Linked DNA regions of Arabidopsis thaliana. The protein of the gene in region 2 interacts with the protein of the main gene of each other region in a biochemical or structural test. Each region holds a gene or a part of one and is shown on either strand. Other genes may lie near its edges. The genes, in order: GRF5 and TUA6.

The links.
Region 1: the proteins of TUA6 (region 2) and GRF5 form a complex in vitro, tested with the Arabidopsis thaliana proteins (one study listed by BioGRID).

What each region holds. Positions count from the first base shown.
Region 1 is NC_003076.8:5,238,386-5,249,403, forward strand, and holds GRF5 (general regulatory factor 5), read right to left. Parts: upstream 7,454-11,018; 5' UTR 7,367-7,453; intron 7,358-7,366; exon of another isoform or gene 7,172-7,357; intron 7,041-7,171; 5' UTR 7,018-7,040; coding exon 6,535-7,017; intron 6,448-6,534; coding exon 6,325-6,447; intron 5,938-6,324; coding exon 5,821-5,937; intron 5,707-5,820; coding exon 5,623-5,706; 3' UTR 5,170-5,622; downstream 1-5,169. Other genes in the region: AT5G16030 (mental retardation GTPase activating protein), read left to right, coding at 1-64, 156-200, 298-612, 700-908, 1,927-2,193; AT5G16040 (Regulator of chromosome condensation (RCC1) family protein), read right to left, coding at 2,475-2,690, 2,781-2,837, 2,912-3,025, 3,173-3,226, 3,341-3,542, 3,633-3,718, 3,821-3,936, 4,034-4,094 and 3 more; AT5G16060 (Cytochrome c oxidase biogenesis protein Cmc1-like protein), read left to right, coding at 7,776-7,833, 8,174-8,321, 8,743-8,824; AT5G16070 (TCP-1/cpn60 chaperonin family protein), read right to left, coding at 9,164-9,242, 9,333-9,451, 9,547-9,654, 9,749-9,817, 9,984-10,078, 10,176-10,380, 10,668-10,751, 10,831-10,945. UniProt on the Arabidopsis thaliana protein: Is associated with a DNA binding complex that binds to the G box, a well-characterized cis-acting DNA regulatory element found in plant genes.
Region 2 is NC_003075.7:8,542,753-8,553,770, reverse strand, and holds TUA6 (Tubulin/FtsZ family protein), read left to right. Parts: upstream 1-3,275; 5' UTR 3,276-3,451; coding exon 3,452-3,544; intron 3,545-3,742; coding exon 3,743-5,002; coding exon of another isoform or gene 5,003-5,018; 3' UTR 5,019-5,354; downstream 5,355-11,018. Other genes in the region: MAPR4 (membrane-associated progesterone binding protein 4), read right to left, coding at 403-570, 673-847, 1,002-1,048, 1,270-1,313, 1,659-1,696, 1,815-1,886, 1,967-2,052, 2,308-2,415; KMS1 (SNARE associated Golgi protein family), read right to left, coding at 6,049-6,204, 6,345-6,524, 6,621-6,737, 6,883-7,040, 7,151-7,450, 7,534-7,612, 7,696-7,907, 8,206-8,254; AO1 (amine oxidase 1), read right to left, coding at 9,467-9,623, 9,740-10,290, 10,565-10,678, 10,762-11,018. UniProt on the Arabidopsis thaliana protein: Tubulin is the major constituent of microtubules, a cylinder consisting of laterally associated linear protofilaments composed of alpha- and beta-tubulin heterodimers.

The DNA.
Region 1 (11,018 bases), on a different chromosome or scaffold from region 2:
TTTAGAACAACAAACTTCAACAACATCTCTAGTACTGCCTCTTCTCCTGGCTACACTCTCAAAGGTTTTATAAATACCTCTCTCTTTGTCCCAATAAGTTTATGAGAATTACTTCTTCTGAATATTTTTTGAATTTTCAAATCTTTTTACCACAGAAGAGATTGACCCATCAACATATTCCTTCACCAATGCACTCAAAGGTAAGTTTTTGCTTTTCTCCTATTGAACGTTCGAAAGGACAGAACAAGAGAGTAATGTTCCAAATGTGTTTTGTCTTGTTTCTTTTGTTTGTAGCAGCATTACAAGCAAAGACAATGTACAATAACAGGGAATGGTTAGCACAAGAAGGGTTTGCATTGAATTCGAAGTGGAACGAAGCAGAGAAATATATCTGCAATCCATTGTCTGGAGAAGTACCAATGGAGTGTTTGTCTGCTAAAACATTAAGTGCAAGATCCTTCAGAAACTTATCAACCATGTCTGCTCCTCTTCACTTCCCTAGTCCCAATCCATTGATGAATAATATTGCTCAAAACAAACCAAATAATAATCCTAACGTTAGAGTCATTCACGAGGATCTTTATGCTCCTGATCCTGAACTTCTTGCTCTAGGTGATTGACTTTAACTCTGTCCCATCTTTTAGATTTTTTTTTAGGTTTCTTGAAGTTTGTTCTTGATTGGGTTTTGCTGATCAAAAGTAAATTATGGGGGGGTGTTTTTAGCGGAAAAGAAAGTTGTGGGGATGAAGCGAGATGTGGGCATACAGAGTACGACGTCGGTGGATCTTAGCTCCGGTAGCCCTAGTCCGGCAAAAACGCCTCCGATTATGGAAAGGTCGTTAAAACGACACGTGGAAGCTGATGATTGGCCAGTGGATATCAATCTCAAAGTGAAAGGTCAACAACAGGTATATATAATATCAATATAACAGTAATTCAAAAAGAATTTATTTCATTTATGTTTATTTGAGTTTGATTTAAACTTCTTAACCAAGGATTACTCTAACAAAATCCAGTAATATTTACCGTAGCCTAAAATATTAAGGAAAAACAGTATCAAATCAAAAAAAAAAATCTATTAATTTGGTAAAATTATAATTTAGAGAGAAAAAAATGAAAACTTTTAATAAAAAAGTGAGAAATATTTAGTCGCTAGCGTGAGGTCCATGCAATTGAAAAGGTACGGAAAAAAATAATAATTGCATAAAATTTTGAATTGTTCGTGCATATGCATCAATAATTAGATACTCTTTCGCAAGATAAGAAAAGCATCAAAGAAATGATAGTACCAAATGTTTTCATGGAAAGAGACAATGATAAAACTCTTCTATTATTGTTTTTGTAGATATGTTACATGATTCATTTTAAGATTTAAGATTCTTTCATGATATATGAAACATAGTACACATGACCGTCTATGACTATATATGAGAGTATTAATCATAGAAACACAAAACCGTATTTCTTGAAAATATATCTCATTAGGCCCCATTTCATGATTTTGTCTCCAACTCACGTGACTACCATCCATATTCTGTATTTTCTCTGTACATTTATCTAAATATACAGTTATAGTCACTCTTATGATTATGAGTAACATGTTATTTAGGAGTAAGTTTTTGTAACTTGATAAGGCACTGATAGCAATCTCATTCTATTCAAACTCGATTAGAGACCTTAGAAGTTTGTTTCATCAAGTCTCACCAGTCCCCAACTTTACATGTGGTTTTACCTTTGAGAAAGAAAAGAGATGATTTACGTTTGTATAACTATTATCAATTGCTGTTTTTGGACATGAAACTGTAGATAATTTGCCAAAAGGCCAAAAACACTTGTAAGGAAAATAAGTCTTATCTATATTATATATCTAAGCCTTGTTCTTCTCAAGATATTACATGTTAATGAAGATTTATTTGAGCTTTGAAGGATGTGAAGTTGGAAGAGAAAGAAAAAGAAGAAGAGAAGCAAGATATGAGCAACGAAGAAGATGAAGAAGAAGAAGAAGAAGAGAAGCAAGATATGAGTGAAGAAGATGATAAAGAAGAAGAAGACGAACAAGAAGAAGAAGAGAAGACCAAGAAGAAGAAGAGAGGACCTGGATGTTTCTCATGGGTGAGATCAAGACAAAGACAAGCAAGAAAATCAAAGTATATCTTCCCTATTTGTGTTCCTCATCTTGTCAAAGGTTGTTGAAAAACCTTTAAACCGAGAGAATCAATAAAGGTTTAAAGGTTTAAACCATCCTTTCAAAGGTTCCTCTTATTTGTTTCTCTTTTTCAATCTATTTTATATTATCAAAAACAAAATCATGATGATATTATATTTAGTTCTTCCTCTTTCATATAGATTCATCATTCATGGGAGTGTCAAAAGCTTAACCATATGCTTTTGCTCCCCTTTTCTCTATAACAAATGCTTATCTCTAGAGTCCCTCTTGTGTTTTTGTTTTTTTGCTCGCTCTATCTTCTTCATGGTTATTCTGTTTCCTCCTGATCATACTTCCATTCCACAATTGCTAGAGTGTGTCGGCCACCACAAGCTACATGTTTAGCTATCCATTTTCCATCGTCTTCTTCATCGGTGTGGTTGAACCGTCCTTCTGGTGGTGGAATGTGTATAGGAAGCTCCAATGGTTGTCCCGTAGTTACTTTTCTTCCATACCCGAGTCTACCGTGGTCTCCCCGACCAAACTGATCACAGGAATCAATATAAAGGAGAGGTTTATAGATTGACTTTGGGTTTCTAACCAACAATGTTTTATACTCTCTAAGAGGACTTACCGAGAAGATCCTACCGTCTCTTGTCAAAGCGACTGAATGAGTTCCGCCACAAGAGACCTGAGAGGAAAAAAAACAATAAGAGCTTTCAAAGCTATGAGAAGAGTCAAGAACTGGTGGTTTGTACTTTTTACCTGAATGATGTCTTCTCCAGCTAAGAGATTAACTTTCTGCGGAAGCATTTTACTGCTCTTATCATTGTCACCAAACCCGAGCCTTCCATGCTCTCCTCTTCCCCAACCATAAACCTAATATTGGACATAGCCAAGTTACAACATTTTTAGAGTAAAGATCTACATCAAGCTCAGAAACAACCCAGTAATGACTCGATCAAGAGCCAGATGGAATAAAAAGTGAGACCCTAGATTAGTAAGAGAATGTATGACTTCTAATACCTCTCCTTCATTGGTTAAAGCTGTTGAATGCCATCCACCCGCAGCGATATCAACCTAACATGAATTCAGAGGAGGAATTAAACTTTAACATAGGCCTTTATAGTTCACATATCTGAAGGCATCAGTTATAATAATGAGTGCTTAAACCAGAAGTCTTAGACTACATACCAAAGTGAGATCGTCAAGGCCTTGGACAGGAATAGGATACGATCTCGGTTGTGTGTCTCCAGTTCCAAGTTGTCCATATTCATTATTACCCCAAGCCCACAAAGTCCCATCTTCTTTCAGAGCCAAGTTATGAAATGCTCCCACAGCAATCAGACGAACGTTTTCAAGACCCTGAACTCTTACAGGAACAGAAATTTGTTTTCTGCGATACACAGGAAACACCATATAAACCAACAGAAGACAAGAAAATGCAAATGTCGTATCCATAAACGAAAGGAAATTTGGATAATACATGTCACCGGGAGGCCACGGTTGACCCCAAGTCCATACATAACCTTCACGGGTTAGAACCACAGAGTGAGTACCCCCTGCAGCTACCTGTTATTTTAATCATACAAACCCGAGAACAGATGGTTTAGACAGGAAAAAAAGAGAACTAAAAATTGAGGTAAATGAAGAGAGGTTAGCAGCATAAGTAACCTGTCGGACTGTAAGTTGCTGGGCACAACGCTTAGGTATTACAATATCCCTCCGCACAGGCCTACCTGTCTCATCCTTGGAAGGCTCTTCACCACACTGTCCATATTCATTTCCACCTAAGTAGATTATATAACAAAAAGGTGAACAACTTAAGATCATTAAGATCATTGAGGTCACAATCATTAGAAAGAAGCTGAGAGAGAAAATGCATACCCCAAGCATATGCTCGGCCTTGATCATCGACAGCTAAACAATGCCAGCCACCAATAGCTGCCTATGATCAATTACAGAAACGGCAATTCAGAGTAAATCACAACGAGGAAACAGCATTAGAGCCAAAAATACTTAAATAATTGTAAGAAGTTTTACCTGAACAATCTTGACGTTGGCAAGAGACTTAACTAGACTTGGGGTGCTTTCTGTTTTTGTCTCAGGTGGGTGTCCTAATGTACCCCTTTGATTCCAACCCCATGTAAACAGCTGAGAAACCATTTAAGAGACCATATTATTTCTATATGTTGGTGACACATCAATCATAAACTACACCATGGAGACAAGAACCAGAGTCTGATGATCTATTCGAGAGTAACCTCAGACAAACATATTGGTTGCATTTTAGTTGGACTTCAGGACAAGAAAAAAAATACGAGCTTTAAACCCTTTTTAATTGGTCCTACAGATCTCAAAAACCCTATGTAAAGCGAACTAAGAAAATCTTAAAGACATGGCTTAGAATCAAATCGCAAAATCAAAGCAAAGCATTGTACTTTAGTTAGTTCTAAGCGAAACCAACCAAAGAAGACACAACAAGGACACATAAAGGAAATTGGATAAGTAACCTTGCCATCATCGCAAATGGCGAGGGAATTGCGGCTACCACCGACGACGGAGCGAACGTTGAAAGGCTCAAGAGCGTCGACGACGGAAGCCAATTCCTTTTCTTCATCGGTTCCAAGTCCTAGTTGCCCATCTTCTCCAGAACCCCTGTGCCAAAAAATCAAACGAAGGAGCAATAGCACAAGTCAGAAACAGTAATGGAGAAAAACAAAGAGGTAGAATAGAAAGAGAAATGACCAGGCTATGACGGAAGTAGCTGAAGCCATTGAAACAAAAGTGAGAGATACAATTACAAATGAGAGAGAAAGAGATATATATGAAGAAACTCAGTGGAAAAGCAGGGCACTCTCGGTGGGATTTCAATTCGAGATATTATTATGTGAATGTGTCATTACATTAATTATTTATTTTGGACCAGTTAATGTTACCTCCCATTCCCATGTCATTTATTAATTAATCCAACTTTTTAGCTTATGGTCATGGAGGATTTATGATTTGTAATTCCATTATATGTGTTACCTAACAGTTGTTCCAAACCGAAAGAGGCTTTATCTTTCGTTTAAAGTTGTGAAATTCCATTTCTATTTCGTTTCATTGAACAACTCTCTTGAGTCTTAACCAATTCCATTTGGGGAACATTCCACCTAGAGAAGCATAATCTAAAAGACAACTAAACCCCAATCAGAGAAGGAAGCAAGTTTTCAACTTTTAGACCGGACCATGTAATGCAATGCAGTCTAATAGTGAAACCGGCAACAACGACAACAACCAAAACATGTGAGAAGCACACAAAGAGTTTTAACCATCGATAACCAAATCATGCAGCTACAATTACTACTACAAATCCATGTTTAAGGAAACTACAGCCCATGTTTAAGGAAACTACAAGGTTTTTTTCTGTTTAAAAACACAGAACCAAGCCATATATTTTTTTGTCTGCAAATCATTCCATGGATCTGATTTTATCACTGCGAAGGTGGTGGTTGGGCTTGTTCATCAACTTTCTGCACCTCTTTCGGGGCTTCCTTGATATCATCACCAGCTTCGTCCTGGAGATTAGATATTAGACACAAATGTTATGCGAAAACCAACAAGAATCTTAACTGCATGATGCAATCACTAAGATATTGCTAACAATGATGAGTGTAAAGAGAGACAAGTACATTGAGGTCAGAAGTCCAGAGGGTGAGATTGTCACGGAGAAGCTGCATGATCAATGTACTGTCCTTGTATGATTCCTCTCCCAATGTGTCTAGCTCCGAGATTGCCTCATCAAAAGCCTACCACCATGAAAAATCATATTAGTAACTAAACAAAAGGTACTTGAATCAAACTAGAATCCGAATGTGAAGGTTGTCCAAATTTCACTAGTGTATGGAACCATTCACAGGATCTAGTTTCCCAATTCTGCCCATCATCAAAATTAACTACAACCCTATCGGTCAGGCTATGGTAAGCAATCTACAAACCATTACTAGAACATATGGAAAGTCTACCCACATGGAAGTGTAACAAGTTAACTACGTAACACGTTTTTGCCACATTATGAACGATAGATAGAAAAAAAGAACCTCTTATGTGCTAAGTTTAATCAAGCAAAACAGTTGGAATATAGGTTTGTTAGTTAATGACAGAAAGCATAGCATAAATGAAAAAGTAACACAGACCTGCTTTGCGAGACTACACGCACGATCAGATGAGTTGAGAATCTCATAGTAGAAAACAGAGAAGTTAAGAGCAAGCCCCAGTCTGATTGGGTGAGTGGGAGCCAGATCAGCAAGAGCAATATCCTACATAAAAACACAAACACCAATAGCATGAGACAACATGTTATCTTAGCACTCTATATGGTTAAGAAGAAGAAACAAGATGATAACCTGAGCAGACTTGTAGGCAACAAGAGTGCTCTCAGCAGCTTCTTTCCTCTCAGCACCAGTCTTGAATTCAGCAAGGTACCGATGATAATCTCCCTTCATCTTCAGGTAAAAAACTTTGGACTCAGCCAAAGAAGCAGCAGGAATGAGATGAGCCTCAAGAAGGTTCAAAATGCCATCACAAATCTTGCTGAGCTCAGTTTCAATCTTGCCTCTGTAATCCTTGATAATCGAAACATGATCACTGTTGCCCCTGCTATCTTCCTTCTGCTCAATGGAAGAGATAATCCTCCAAGAAGCTCTCCTAGCACCAATCACGTTCTTGTAAGCAACAGACAAGAGATTCCTCTCTTCAACAGTAAGTTCCTCGGTCTCCACGGTCTTTGCAACTTTCTCCATGAACTCAACCATTTCCTCGTAACGCTCAGCTTGCTCGGCTAACTTGGCCAAGTACACATTCTCTTCCCGGGACGAATCAGAAGACATCTTTGCAATACTCTTTTAAAAACCTGTTTTCAACAAGAAAATATCAAGCAGCAGCAATAAACAAAGAGCACGAAATAGAACTCAGTAATGCTGCAACAATCTTGCATTCAAGAGCAACGATAACAATCATCTCTAACAAAATTAATCCACGCACCCAAAGAATAAAAAACTTTGACAAACGATTTACACTGCTAGATCTATCCAAAATCGATAGAACGAACTTTGAATCCTACAGATCTTGAAGTGATGACCAAAACGCGAAGATCAACAACATATCAACAATAAACGCAGAAAACGAGAAGCAGAAAAAACATTGTCGAAGTATGAGCAAGGAAGATCGGAACCGTACCTTGAGAAATGGGAATTTTCGAATTAGGGCTTTTGAATTCGAAGCGAAATTAGGGGAAGTGAGAAATTTGGGGGAGACGGTCTCGTGACCATTAAATGGGAAAAGAGTAAAGAGAGAGAGAGGGGCAACGACCCAATTAAAATACGACACGTGCTAATCTGTTGACCGTCAAAGGACTTAATTCTCGTCCATAATTTTAAATTGAAGTGGGTGAAATGTGACGAATCATAAGTTAATAAGGTCATTCATATAATACAAAAATATTAAGGGGGCAAAATGGCAATATAAGTTAAGTTTCCTTGGGGTAAATGACGGATTTACCCTTTGCCCTGAACCCATTTCTAGTCCCCTTTGCCCTTTTGATCGAATTGATCGGAGAAGGCCGGAAAAGCTCGAAGGTCCGTCGTCAATGGGTAGCTATGTGGAGCAAGCTCGTGAAAATCACGTGAAGAAGAAGGTCGAAGAAGGTAATTTGACAATGTCGTGACTTCTTCATCTCGCTATGTTTTAAAACCCTAAACCCCCAAATGGTTTTTTTATTGCCTCGAAAATGAGATCAACCATATCGATACTATTTAAGCCTGGTTTCTTATCATAGACGCAGATTCTTTTGCTAGATTGAGGATTAGGGTTCTCATAAACCCTTGGTAGTAACTCCATATTTTGCATCTGATCTAGCAAGCTCTCATTGAGTGTGTCAAATTGCTTCTATGAATTGAGCTTATAGATTGTGTTGAAGTTGAAATGGTGATGGTTTTTTTTTGTTAAATGGTTGTTTGATTGATTATGTATATACTTTGTTATTAGCGCTGCGTAGCAAGATGAAGGCAAAGGCATTAATGGAATGTGATCAGTACGTCTCCAAGTATGCTCAATGCGCAACAGGAAGAACTTTTTCTGTGGTATGGACATGTCGTAAGCAAGCTAGGGAGCTCAACACTTGCCTCCATCAATTGTAAGTTTTTCGAGTTTTTAGTGCTCCTTCCATTAGAGGTGTCATCTTTTTTTCACTGTTACGTATAAAGATTTGTTGTGTATGGGGGCATCTGATTTTGATTATTCTTTCTTAATACCCTTCACTGGTAAGTCTGATATGATGAAATGAGACAACTTGTGGTTAGGAGATGCATAACGTTATCATGACGTACCAGTGCTAGTATATATATGTAACCAAATATAAGCTTATAGAAGGGGATGATTGATGATTCTTTGATACTGCGATAAAAGAGAAGTAATAACTATCTTCTATATCGGTGTAGCACAGTCTTGTTCTTGGTGCACAAGTTCTTTTTATGTGACTCCCTAATGAACGTCTCCCTTGTTGGGCCGATGCTTAAATGTTGTCTAACCATGAAACTATTTTGTTGATTCTGCAGCACCAATGACAATGTCTTGGAGGAAATGAAGAGAGCGTATATGGTTCAAGAAGAGGGTAAAGTCTCAGCCTCGGCCATATAGATGTTTGTTGAACAAAAGATTTGAGTACGACCAATATAATGTCCTCGCTTTGTTTCTTGTTCATTGCGAACCAAAATATATCCTTTTTTATAAATAAACTGTGGCCTTTCTTAAATATGGGTGTATTCACTAAATCTAGAGATCAGATTCAAATAGATTTTGTATTACTATTTTTTATCATTTTGCAAAAGATCCACTACATCTAAAGATCAGATTCAAATATGTTTTTCATTGCCAAAAAGAAAAAAAAAACATATGTTTCACAATATTCAGGATTTACACCAAGAAACAAAATTTGAGGTGCTTACAAATTAGAAACCAAGTTAAAAGCAAAGGACTTCAAGCAGTAGGCTTCCTCATATTTCTGCCTGCACGAATCACTTCGTCCACCAAAAGTAATTGCGACGCAATCACTGGCCTGCAACACAAACAAATAGCCGGTTATTGAAATGGTTTCAACCGAAACCCAAAGCTTTTATTAGAATTGACTAGTTGGGTCGAACATTACCCTGAATTGATAAGTTGGCGTTTCACTGAGTAATTATCAAAAATACCAGCAAGCTGCGGGTCAATAGGTTCACCGTCCTGAAGGTTCAGTCCCACAACGTTCCCTTTGTCATGCTCGCTCTGCATAAGCGCATCACAATGAGCAATTCTAATTCTTTGTTCCTTCAACAATTGATTTCAGTTTGCAGAAGATGATAAGAGAGATGAATGCATACCGTAAGAGAAATGATCACATCTTGGGTATCAAGACCTGCATTTTCTGCAAGTGTCTTAGGCACCACGAGAAGGGCATTAGCAAAAGCTTCAACGCCAAGTTGGGCACGCTGCAATGTTCATGATAGTATTAGCAATTTAGAATATTGGGATGCATTAAGTAATGTTGCGAGAATTAGAGTACGAGTGAAGAAATCAACTTACCCCTTGAACGGTTTTCTTGACTTCATTGAGTAAGTGTTGCCTTGCTGCAACTTCAAAAGCTCCTGCTCCCTACAGAAACATGCAACCACACATTAACATAACGCAAAACATATACAATAGGTCTATATGCTAACCTTACCCAGGGTTTTGATCACGAATTAACAATTTCTTTGATATTGCGGAGAAACATAAAGCAATGTTAACAAAAAAACTTCAAGATATATAAGGTACTTACTAACACAACACACTCGTCTTCTATGGTGTTCTTGACCGATCTCAGACCATCACGAACAGCGTCCTTAATTTGGGCAATAGTGTGATCATTAGGCCCTACAAAACCCAAGAAATTCATGAATGAACACTAAAACTACTAAAAGAACAAATGAACCATCAAAACTTAATGAAGACATAAAAGTCGTCCTAATACCTTTTATGAGGATGGTACATGAATTAGGATTCTTCACTTGCTCCACAAAGGTGTACTTTTCCTCCCCAAGAACGTGCTCATAGACAAGTCCAGCCCATCCAAGAGACTCAGGGGTCAAGTCGTCAACAGAATTCACAGCTTCTCCACCACAGGCCAAAACTAAACGTTCCATGTTCCTCCTCTTTGCTCTTCTAAGACCAATAATCTGGACACATGAGGAAAGGTAATTAGATTCAACAGCTTCTAAACAAGAGAAATTAGGTACAAAAGAATAGACAAGCTCAGTCAGTGTCCCAGAACTAAAAACTAATGCTGCCAATCGTCTCCATGGATTATTGTATATCGAAGGAACTACTCTTTTAATATTACTGGCAATTTCAATTCACTTAATAACACATTCTTCCCTAGTATCTTTCTTCTTGTTCCTAAATATCACAATTTCAGCGATTTGTAACATAAGTTTAAATGCAAGAAAACACAGAAGTAGCTTACCCCTTCTCTAGCAAGAAGATCCAATGATGGTGGGTCAATACCCTTCTGATTTATGACAACAAAGTTGTCATTATCACCACACACCTGCACAAGAAATAAAACATGTATTAGTATTTTTTACAGGGTTTTAAAATAAAACTTGGAGAAATGGTCGCAGTCCCACCTTCTTCTTCAGCTCAATTATTTTCTTAACTCTTTCATCAACAGATCGCCTCTCTGCGGTAACCATGGCTTCCCTCTGCTCCGCATTAGAGTAGAAAAATCCTGCATTGATTTCACTGATAGATAAATAGAAATATTAGTCCACATCACCAGAAACATCCAGGCCTTTACTTTCTCTTCGCCAAATTG
Region 2 (11,018 bases):
CAAAATTTAGTAACCCTGAAGAAGCTACCGCCAAATTTTCAACAAAGAAGCGCCCAGAGTTCCTCATTACATGACATGCAGTCTATCGACGAAAATTCAAACGGCACTCTGTGTTATTAAATTACTCCGTAAGATTCTAGAACTGATTGCCGTTTAAATTCAGTACACAAACTACGCAATCCGCAATCTGTTGACGCAAAAGCAAAAACTGCAGGGTGTGTAACCAAAATACCCATAGTATTTAGAACTATTCGCCGTTTTAATTTAGTTACACATAAACTACACGCAATGCATCCATACAAAATCATAAAGAATTCTATGTGGTATACAAGAGTACAAGGCTACGAAAGAACTAGCTATTGCAATTTGCAAACTTGTTAAGACAAGTCTCGTGAATCATATTCAAACCCTGCAAGTCTTGGCAAGAGGTTCACAGTCTTTATAGATCTCCAAGCCAGACTGATCAAGTTGGTCTTCCTCAAAGCAAGCACAGCGTTTGCTCATCGAGCCAGTTATTGCTATCTCCAAAGGTCTTTGTACCAGTCTTGGCACTCCAACATCACACCAAACCTGCATAATAGCTTATGCTTTTAGTCCCATCAAGTATTCACTAATACGTTATAGTTCTCTCCCCTATAAACCGGATTGATAGAAGATAACAAGAGTTTCTACCTCTCCACCTTCATCTTGACTCCATCGTGAGTTGCAATTCGATTGCTTGGCTTCTTCAGTCTTCTGTTTCTCCATGAGTTGTGCACCTCTGGAGGCTTTTGCTTCAGCTCCTTTAAGGTGTTTAGTTGGATTCCCTTGGCTATCGTAGTACCGCCCAACAAGCTTCCCAACAGGACTGTTGATCACAAATTAAAAGCTGAGAACCAAACCAAGAGGACCATATAATACAAGGATTAAGGTGAGCAATGTATTATCCATACACCACCTTCTTAGTTTAACTATGCATCAGCTTTCTATTGTGTGAATTAAACATAAAAGTAATAAATTACGTGTAGGTCCTGGAGTAGAAACCTCGCCAGTCAACAATGCTCTTCACCTGCGGACAAGAAATCTTTGTCAAGCCATATCAAACATGTAACTAAACATAATCGGAGTTATAGAATATCAAACAGTTAACAAACTATATGCTACTTCAATATCTTAGAAAGTAATAGTTATGAAGAAATAAGCACATCTGGCACAATGGCAAGATCAAAGACTACTTTAGACGTTTCTATAATTTCATTGATGAGATATATGGAGCTAAAAAAACATTACCTCACTGCTAGATAACCCTTGTAACGAATCTGTAAGTCCATCTCCTGTACAAGAAAATAATCATAGCACACAAATGAGAAGTTTCCACAGATTTCAGGGACTTGATGTATAATATTCTCCAAATAGCTACAAAGTTTGGATAATTCTGACTTCTTCACGCATGACTAATATTGTTTATGAGGATTCAAAGATGTGTAATGGGAGGAACACAGAAAATTTCCTCATAACATTAGCAAGAAAAGAGAATGAAATCTCATTTTTTTCGAGGATGTCATGCCAATGTCCATAAGTACTAACAGAAGCAAAGACCATAATATACTACAAAATTTTCCACAAATTTATCTGGATCAAACAGGCATGGTGATTAGGATGCAGCAAACGATTCGTACCTGTAAAGTTGCCAGAAACAAATGCACGAGAAGCGTCTCTGAGCGAAAGAATGACATGGAAAAACACTTCCCATCAGCTACAAACATGAAAGATTAACAAGAAGAAGATAGAAGAACATATGAGAATCTCTCCACATAATTTTTAACAAAACAAACCTTCCAGCAAAATGGTTGTACCCTCCTCCACTACCGTAATGAAATTTTCCTTTCGTCACATCGAACACAGATCTGAATACTCAGTTCACAAGTTGTTAACATATGCGTTTACTTTCAAAAACCTGACAGCAGAAGGAAGGAAAAGAACTCACCCAAGAATCCCTAAGAGTATAGGTAATGTTTCATCAGTACCATTATACAATGCCAATTCTTCAGCAGAAAATAACCTCTTTTGATACTGAAACACAAACAAACCATCAAATCAAAGACATGAGACATCATCATAACATTGGTTTATCTATTTCAATTCTAATTAAACTCAAGACCCATACATAACAACCACAGAGACAAACTTCATTGGCTATAGAAGACCCTGTATAATTCAATCAAAAAGTAGCAGAAGCTAAATAGAGATTTTGAATTCCAGCTAAGCTCGTGTCTGTTTGGAATTTTCAGAACAGGGAAGTTAGTTAGAAAGAAGAGCAGTTGGTACTTGGTGTTGTGGAGACTTGAAGGAAGATCTGAAGTAGAGAGAGACGAGAACGACGATAAACGTGACGCCGACAAATGGAGATAAGAGAAACCTCCTCGCCGGAATCATCGATTGGATCCGATTTCACGTGTCTGCGAAATTTGCTAATTTTTTACACCACTTTTTAGGATGTGATGACTTTTTTAACTAAACAACAAAAGTTAAGGTACTAAACTGTGATACTTCAAATATTCAGAGTGCGTTTCATAAATTTTTTAAGACCGACCTTGAACACGATAAATTAATAAGATAATAATTTTTCTGAAAGTTTGATGTGAATGTATGGTCTCATCAATATCATAAATTAATAATTGTATAAATATATTAACTATATATATATTATATGTAAAAGAATTTCTTTAAAATATATTTTAAAATTTTTTTTGCTTAAATTCATATTTGTTCTTTGTTTGAGTATAATTTTCATATTTTATTGTATCAAAATTTTTGGTGTTGTTTTCTAAACATTATTATTATGTTTTACTTGTAACTGGTTCTAAATATATATTTTCTACAATGAAAGAAATCTTATAAAACAATTTTAAAAGTTACCAAATTAGGAAAATGTCTGTATAAATTAATAAATATTAATTTATCGATAAATTAATACCTCTCTAAATTAATAAAATTTCGCGGTCCCAACATTATTAATTTATAGAGGTTTTATTGTATATCGATTTATCATTTCCCTGAAGATTGATTGCAAGTTCAAACATACAATGGAAATTACTTATCTGATACACTTTGGTTCAGTCCTAAATAATGGTCTGATACGGTTCAATTCCAGTTAAAATTCCGGTTAAGTTCCACGCAATTCAAGGGATTTTGCTTTTCAAAAATTCCAAAATTATAAAATACACAGCTCACGAGAATAACAACAAATCGTGGTTTTAACAACAACCCAATTACATCATTACACGTGTAATATACCTGCCGTTACATACAGATGGGATAATTTTCGCTTATAAAATACAGCATCAAACACCTTCCTCATAACCTAGAAATCGAAAATATCAGATCTAAAGAAGAGCGTCTTCATAAACGCCCTTCGTCTTCTTCCCTGCAAATCTATTTTCTAGATCTTTCTTTCTTCCGCGAAACGACAATGAGAGAGTGCATTTCGATCCACATTGGTCAGGCTGGTATTCAAGTCGGAAATGCTTGCTGGGAGCTTTACTGTCTTGAACATGGCATTCAGGTTCGTCTCTTCCTCTTATAGATCAGATCTGAGATATTTTCACCTTGTTCTTCGGATTTCGTAGATATATTGTACGTAATTGCTTAGATCTGTGTTTGATTTATATAGTTGATGTAAGATCCGTTTCGATGAACCTGTTTAGATCTATTGTATATGATTTTTGTATTGATGTGGTGTATTGGATCTGGAATGTTACAGCCTGATGGCCAGATGCCTGGTGACAAGACTGTTGGTGGAGGTGATGATGCTTTCAACACCTTCTTCAGTGAAACCGGTGCAGGTAAGCACGTCCCACGTGCTGTCTTTGTTGATCTTGAGCCAACTGTGATCGACGAGGTCAGGACTGGTACTTACCGTCAGCTTTTCCACCCTGAACAACTCATCAGTGGTAAAGAAGACGCTGCTAACAATTTCGCCCGTGGTCATTACACCATTGGGAAAGAGATTGTTGATCTCTGCTTGGACCGGATCAGAAAGCTCGCTGATAACTGTACTGGTCTTCAAGGATTCCTTGTTTTCAACGCTGTTGGTGGTGGGACTGGATCTGGTCTTGGATCTCTTCTCCTTGAGAGACTTTCTGTTGACTATGGGAAAAAGTCCAAGTTGGGTTTCACTGTTTACCCATCTCCACAGGTGTCTACCTCTGTGGTTGAGCCTTACAACAGTGTCCTCTCCACTCACTCTCTCTTGGAACACACTGATGTCTCCATCCTCCTCGACAATGAAGCTATCTATGACATCTGTAGACGCTCCCTTAACATTGAGAGACCTACCTACACCAACCTCAACCGTCTCGTCTCTCAGGTTATTTCTTCCTTGACTGCTTCTCTGAGGTTCGATGGTGCCTTGAATGTTGATGTTACTGAGTTCCAAACCAACTTGGTTCCATACCCAAGGATCCACTTCATGCTTTCGTCCTATGCACCAGTCATCTCCGCGGAGAAGGCCTTCCATGAGCAACTCTCAGTTGCTGAGATCACGAACAGTGCCTTTGAACCTGCTTCCATGATGGCAAAGTGTGACCCGCGACATGGAAAGTACATGGCTTGCTGTTTGATGTACCGTGGTGATGTAGTCCCCAAGGATGTGAACGCAGCGGTTGGCACCATCAAGACCAAGCGAACTATTCAGTTTGTTGACTGGTGTCCTACTGGATTCAAGTGTGGTATCAACTACCAGCCACCAACTGTTGTTCCTGGAGGTGATCTTGCTAAAGTCCAGAGAGCTGTTTGTATGATCTCAAACTCAACCAGTGTTGCTGAGGTATTCTCCCGTATTGATCACAAGTTTGATCTTATGTACGCCAAACGTGCTTTCGTTCACTGGTATGTTGGTGAGGGTATGGAAGAAGGAGAATTCTCAGAGGCTCGTGAGGATCTTGCAGCATTGGAGAAGGATTATGAAGAGGTCGGTGCTGAAGGTGGTGACGATGAGGATGATGAAGGAGAGGAATACTAAGAAGAATGTTTCTTAAAAATTGGATTTTGTGTTGGGTTTTTCTCTATTATCTCGTGTTGTGATGAATGGGGGCTCGAAACTCTTACGAGTCTTAGTTGTGTGTTTTTCTAAACCTATATTTCTATCTCTTGCTGGTGGTTTGATTTCTATTATCTAGTTCGTTTGTGTATTGACTCATGTTTCTGGTAATATCTTTCTTACTATGTGATAAAGTAATCTCAAAAACTGAATTTTAGCTGGGTATTTTTGTTAGTTGAACTAGACTTCTCCTAAAGTCAACCTTTATCATATCTGCATAAGCTGCTAAGAACTATCTGGATACAAAAGATGGCACTGAAACATTATTTCAGTAGTAATATGAGAAGGAACTAATAACTGGAACTCATAGCAGAAGCAGAAGTTCCTTTGTTTCAATCCTATTCCTGTGGAGAGTGGAAATGGGCAATGGAAAGTATGAAGAGCCTGAACTTGAATAAAATCATAAGTTTTGCTGCTTGGCCATGTTTGGAGAGCTTTTCTTATATAGCTCGAAGTGCGACTAGAGAGGATCTTTGGCAATCATATATTTCGTCAGGTTCCCCAAGTTGGTTAAATGAGCTTTTTGTATCTGAATGTAGCATTACCTCTGTAATGTTTGTTGGGGCTCAGTTTCTATAACTTTATCTCTTTGTAGTTTTGCTGTATTTGGTAGACTCATTTGCTCATATTAACAGTGAAAAAAAATAACAAATAATTGGAACTAAGCATAGAACAAAATAAGCTTACACTAGATTTAATTTGGTAACAGTACCAAATTAGCAATTAATGCGTTTTTCTTTTCTGAGTACTTGTTCCTACAGAACCTTCTCTATGGAATCACAGGAACAAAAATAAACCTCCTGCAATCTCATAATCCCAATTTCCTACACAGAACAGTCCCACCGGAATCAATGTGACAAGATGAGAAGATGAGAAGACATTTTTTGTTTGTTGGCCCTTCAACTCAAATCTGGATAGTGTCTGTTTTGATGTTGGAGCATGAGGAAGAAAGATTGTGGGAGATTTTATCAATCTGAATGAGTCAAAGTAGCCATTTCTTTCTCTTGCTTCTTCTTCAAGTGTCTCTGTGCAGTTGCTGTCACAATCTTCACGAAAAAGTTGAGGAGCATGAGCCATACTATCCCGTTCCAGATCGATGCAAACGAAAAATCCCACTTTTTCACCTACTCAAGATCAAAAAGAACGCAAATTCAGTTGATCTTTTGTAAAAGCTTGAATTACATAGTGAAAAACTTCGTACTTACAAAGTAGGAAATGCGTAAAGTTTATAAAGAATGTAGCGGGATAGCGAAAGGTTGTTTACCTTGATGTGAGATGGAACAGGAGATGGTGCATCAATATACTTTTCTTTCATGGCGTGGAGTTTGGCTGTGAGTCCAGGCAACATAGAAGCCAATCCCGGGACATGGCTAAGTATCCAGATCAGTTCGTTCTCCATCCAGTCAAGCAGTTGGTTATTACAAACGCAGATGATAAATATCGTCTACATTACGAAAAAGGAGAAACAAGCACATAAGAAACAAAGTTAAAAAACCATTTGGGTGTTAAACTAGTATCTATGAGACACGAGGTTCTGAACCTGTATATGAGTTTTGATGATCGCCTTTCCGATTAAGGTCGCCAGGAAGAATTCCCAAAACGGAATGCCAAATTGTCCACACATTATTCCAGCGAGGTCAAACAAAGGATTTGGAACCTACAATCAAATCGAAGCAGTGAGTAATGGTAAGGTCCTGATCATTGAATCCTAGAAAGCAAAAGATATTATATGACACAGTAAATACGGTCATAATCCATTTGCTACTGCAGAAGGTAAAGTAAATTGGAGGATGCATACTAACCGAAGCAAGAACCAAGACAGTGAAGAAGTTCAAGTGCTGTGAATGGGTTAATAACCAACGCTTAACACGGTTCAGGTGAGTTGCCATAAATCCGCTATCTTCAGTGGAGGAACCATCTAATTCTTCCATTCCATCCACTGTGCTCCCAGATATACTAGCTGGAAAAATAGAAAAAGCAAACAACACAATAAACAACCGAGACCTATGCACATGCATGGACGACTACACAAATCAAAGAGAAATATATAGAGAGAATCAGTATACAAACCTGCCCTTGAGATGAAATATGGAGGAAGCTCCCCAAGAGCCGTCCCAATACCCCATAAGATTGCCTCCAACTGGACTTGTGGCAATATGCTGGTAAGAGGCACACGCGATCCAGCAGCTGATATCATTAAAGGAGGACCGAATTCCGAACAAGATTTATCAAGCCATGAAGGAACCCTTTTCAACTGTATTGTATCATATGGTGCAGATTTTAGATCAACTCGACCACATAGCGTTGCTTTTAGAGTGAACAAAGCAATGTGCGGACCCAAATAGAGAACGAAAGTATGGAGACCAGATCCTATACAAGAAGATAGAAGTAGTAAGACTAATGTTAATTGCTTCGTAAATGCGAAAGAACACTACGCTATTTGAGTGACTAACCAAGACCAATAGAAGATGCAACACCAAGTGCTATCCACCACAAGCCATATCGGACATACTCTAATACTTCTTCAACATGCTGTAACAATAAATACACATGTGTTAGACTTAGACCCTTCTTTATATCAAAATACAATCCAGGAAAGTCGAAACGATTTATACCTTGCCATGAGGTCCATCAACAGTAACAAGCAAACCACCAGATACCACTAACAAAGTGGTTATCAGTATAAACCAACCTCCATGAGCCAATAGATACGATATGGATCGCTTGATGTACTGAATAGTAGCCTCAACAAACAACTTCAATGTATTCAAAGGTTGTGTCGTTAATGTTAGATTCTCTACTTCCTTCTCATGCTTCTCACGCAAAGCTGCAAGTTTTATAACACACAGATTACATTAGTCCCATACAATGTGGGTCTCCCTCCTATTTCAACAAAGGTTAAGCCTTTCTCCTACATCACCTTAATACAAATTAAGCTATAAGATTGATCGCTAATCCAACATCACTAATCGATTCACATCAACAAAACAACACAAAACAAATCAAAAGCTGTGATTCAGATCTCGAATTCATAATTTGTATCCATGATATGAACGAATTGAGATGAAATCTAATTGATAAAAGGTCAAAAATCGAAAACCCAAAAACAAAAAGAAGAAACTTGCCTGAGATCGCAACATCAGAAGAAGAACTCGCTACACCAGCCGATCCCATGTCTTTGTGTGTAAACCTAATTGAGTCACCAAACTACTTATATAACTATATCTCAACGGATTTTTAAAATAGATTTCCAATGTTGCGAAGGAGATTAGAACATGGGTTCGGTCGAATTCGAGATGGGTAATAGATATATAGATTTGCTTTGGAAACAAAATAGGAATTGATTTTTCGATTTTATCAATGTTTTTTTTATAAGGGAAAAAACTTGTTTTGTAACCTAACGTAACGTGACGTGTGGGCTTTGGTCGAGATAAACCAACAAAACACAGATGAGAGATCTGGTCTTTGTAGAAGACACACAGAGAGAGATATGGAAGGAATTCAGAGAATGGAAAGAAGACGCAAACGAAATTTAACAGAGTTCAGAAAAACTCTCGTTCCTCTACATTCATTGATTGGTTCACTGGGCTTTAAAGCCCATTTCGTTCTTGCTTGGTTTCGGTTAGATCGGTTGAACCGGACATCTGGAAAGTATGCGAATTTAACGAACTTAAAACCATGATTTTCACATACACACAAAAAAAAACAAAGTATAGTTTGATTAGGATCCGTACAACGTGCCATTTTCTATTTTTACGATAAAATTGAGTAAATTTAAAAATTTGTTACAGTTAAAAAAAGTTTTTTTAGGAAAAAATAATAGAAAATATTTTTAGTTAGTTATATAATATTATCGCTACTATTATCATTTTTAACATTTTTATTATTTTTTACTATTACAAAAACCAATATCACATTTAATCGGTTCAACTCATATATTATATAGTATTGTTATAGATAAAATTTTAAACTATAGTTTAATTAAATCATCTTCTTATTTATTTTTTAAAAAAAAGAAATAATAATAATTAGAATAATAAAATATACCAACAAACTCATACAACCGTGTGGGTCGATTCTAATTTAACCAAATTTCATTAAATTTATCGACGTTTTGGTGTTACAATGAAAGGATTTTGCCGATGGCACGACCAACTTGAAAATTGAGAAATAAGTGAATCACAAGTATTGAACCAAAAAAAGCATCAAAGCTAATTAACTAAACCATTCAAAACATAAGAAATTAATACATTCAAGACATAATAATCAAAATCAAATTAATAACTTAGTCACAAGGCTAAAAATTGTTTTTTCAATGATCATATGTTTGACGTAACATAAGTCAATCAATACATAAGCCATCAGTTTGTTTGTCTAAGACCGTATTTACCCAATCAAAGGATCGTTATCGAAGAAATTTGAAGGCCGAAGAGTAAAACCACCGTGAAGAGTTGGCATAACCGGAAAATCCTCTTGGTATGGAATGTGATGAAACCCAACGTTGTACCACATCACTATGTCTTTGTTCTCTATCTCTCTGTTCCTGTTCCCATATAACAAACCACAAATTTATTCCTTAATAAACCAAAAAAAAAAATTACTTACTATGAAAAATAATTTTAAACTTTAGATTAATTATTTTTACTTTAAATTAATTACCTACTACTCCATACAGCTAAACCGTCATCGCCACGGCTCCGATCACTATAAAACCCACCGGCCCATCTCTCGGACCGGTCATAGGCGGTCACCCAAACCGGATATTTCGTGTAACCGGCTCTTAACTCGGGGTAATCATCATCGGTTAAAAGCGAAGTGGCTTGTAAATGTTCCGGTATCAGCCGGTAACCAACTGTATTTCCTATTTTCGTCTTCTTGTTCGGGTTTACTATTAACAGCTCAACCGGATCCGAGCCGAGTCGAACTCTACCGTCAGCTTCCGTTTTCGCCGTCTCTTTAACGACCGTCCAGTAACTCTTCCTCCGAGAAGACGTTTTGTTAACTTCCGTTACTCTTACCGTTTTGAGTTTGGCTTTCACCAAGGAATTGCCGTTACCGTCAACGTCGAGGTCCAAGTAGTACGTTAGGTAATGGTCGTGGTTAACGGCGATAGTGTTCTTCGCCACCAGTGTACCGTATACGTTCTCCGTTATTTGATCGTTTGAAGTGTACGATGTCGCTTTTACTTCTAAAACTCCAGTCAAATCCACCTACATATATATTAAGATTGATATACTTGAATACTTTATTATGTATAAAAAATGAAAGACCATGCTAATATATAAACTATACCCCAGCTCTGATGGCTCCATTTCTTTTAAAATTCTCAAACGAAAATCAAACTGAGTTCACTTGAAAAAATTATAACATATGTTAAAGAATCTTTACAGGTCAAAACTGGCCAGGTTGGTCTGGATTTCAAAACAATTGTATCAATCCAAAAAGTTAAATACTATATTAAAGAGAACATGAAGTAAACAGTACCCCAACTCTGATGGCTCCATTCTTTTTAAATTCCCAATCCACTATGTAATCATAGTTTCCAAGTGTGGCCACCATTCTAACCACTAAACTTATTTCAGCTTCCCCACTTGTTATCTGCAAAAATTAATTAAAGTAACTAATCAAAGTTCCTAGAAACGTAAACAAATCATTTAGTAATCTGTATTTTGTAAGTTTACCACTTGTCCTGGAACATTAATCTCGGTGTGTCTAAAAGAAGCACCGTAACCGTTTTTCTCGAATACACACATCACATTGGTCATCTTCTGAGCTGTCCCATCTGGTCCGGCCACGTGCCCATCTAAAAACGCAGCGTTTTGCGGGCAGTCAATGAGTGGCTGCAGATTCACGGCGGATCTCCCGAAACCAAACTCTCCAATGTCCATGAACGTACGGTAGTACCATTCGTAGGTTGGGTCCATGTACGGAACAAAAG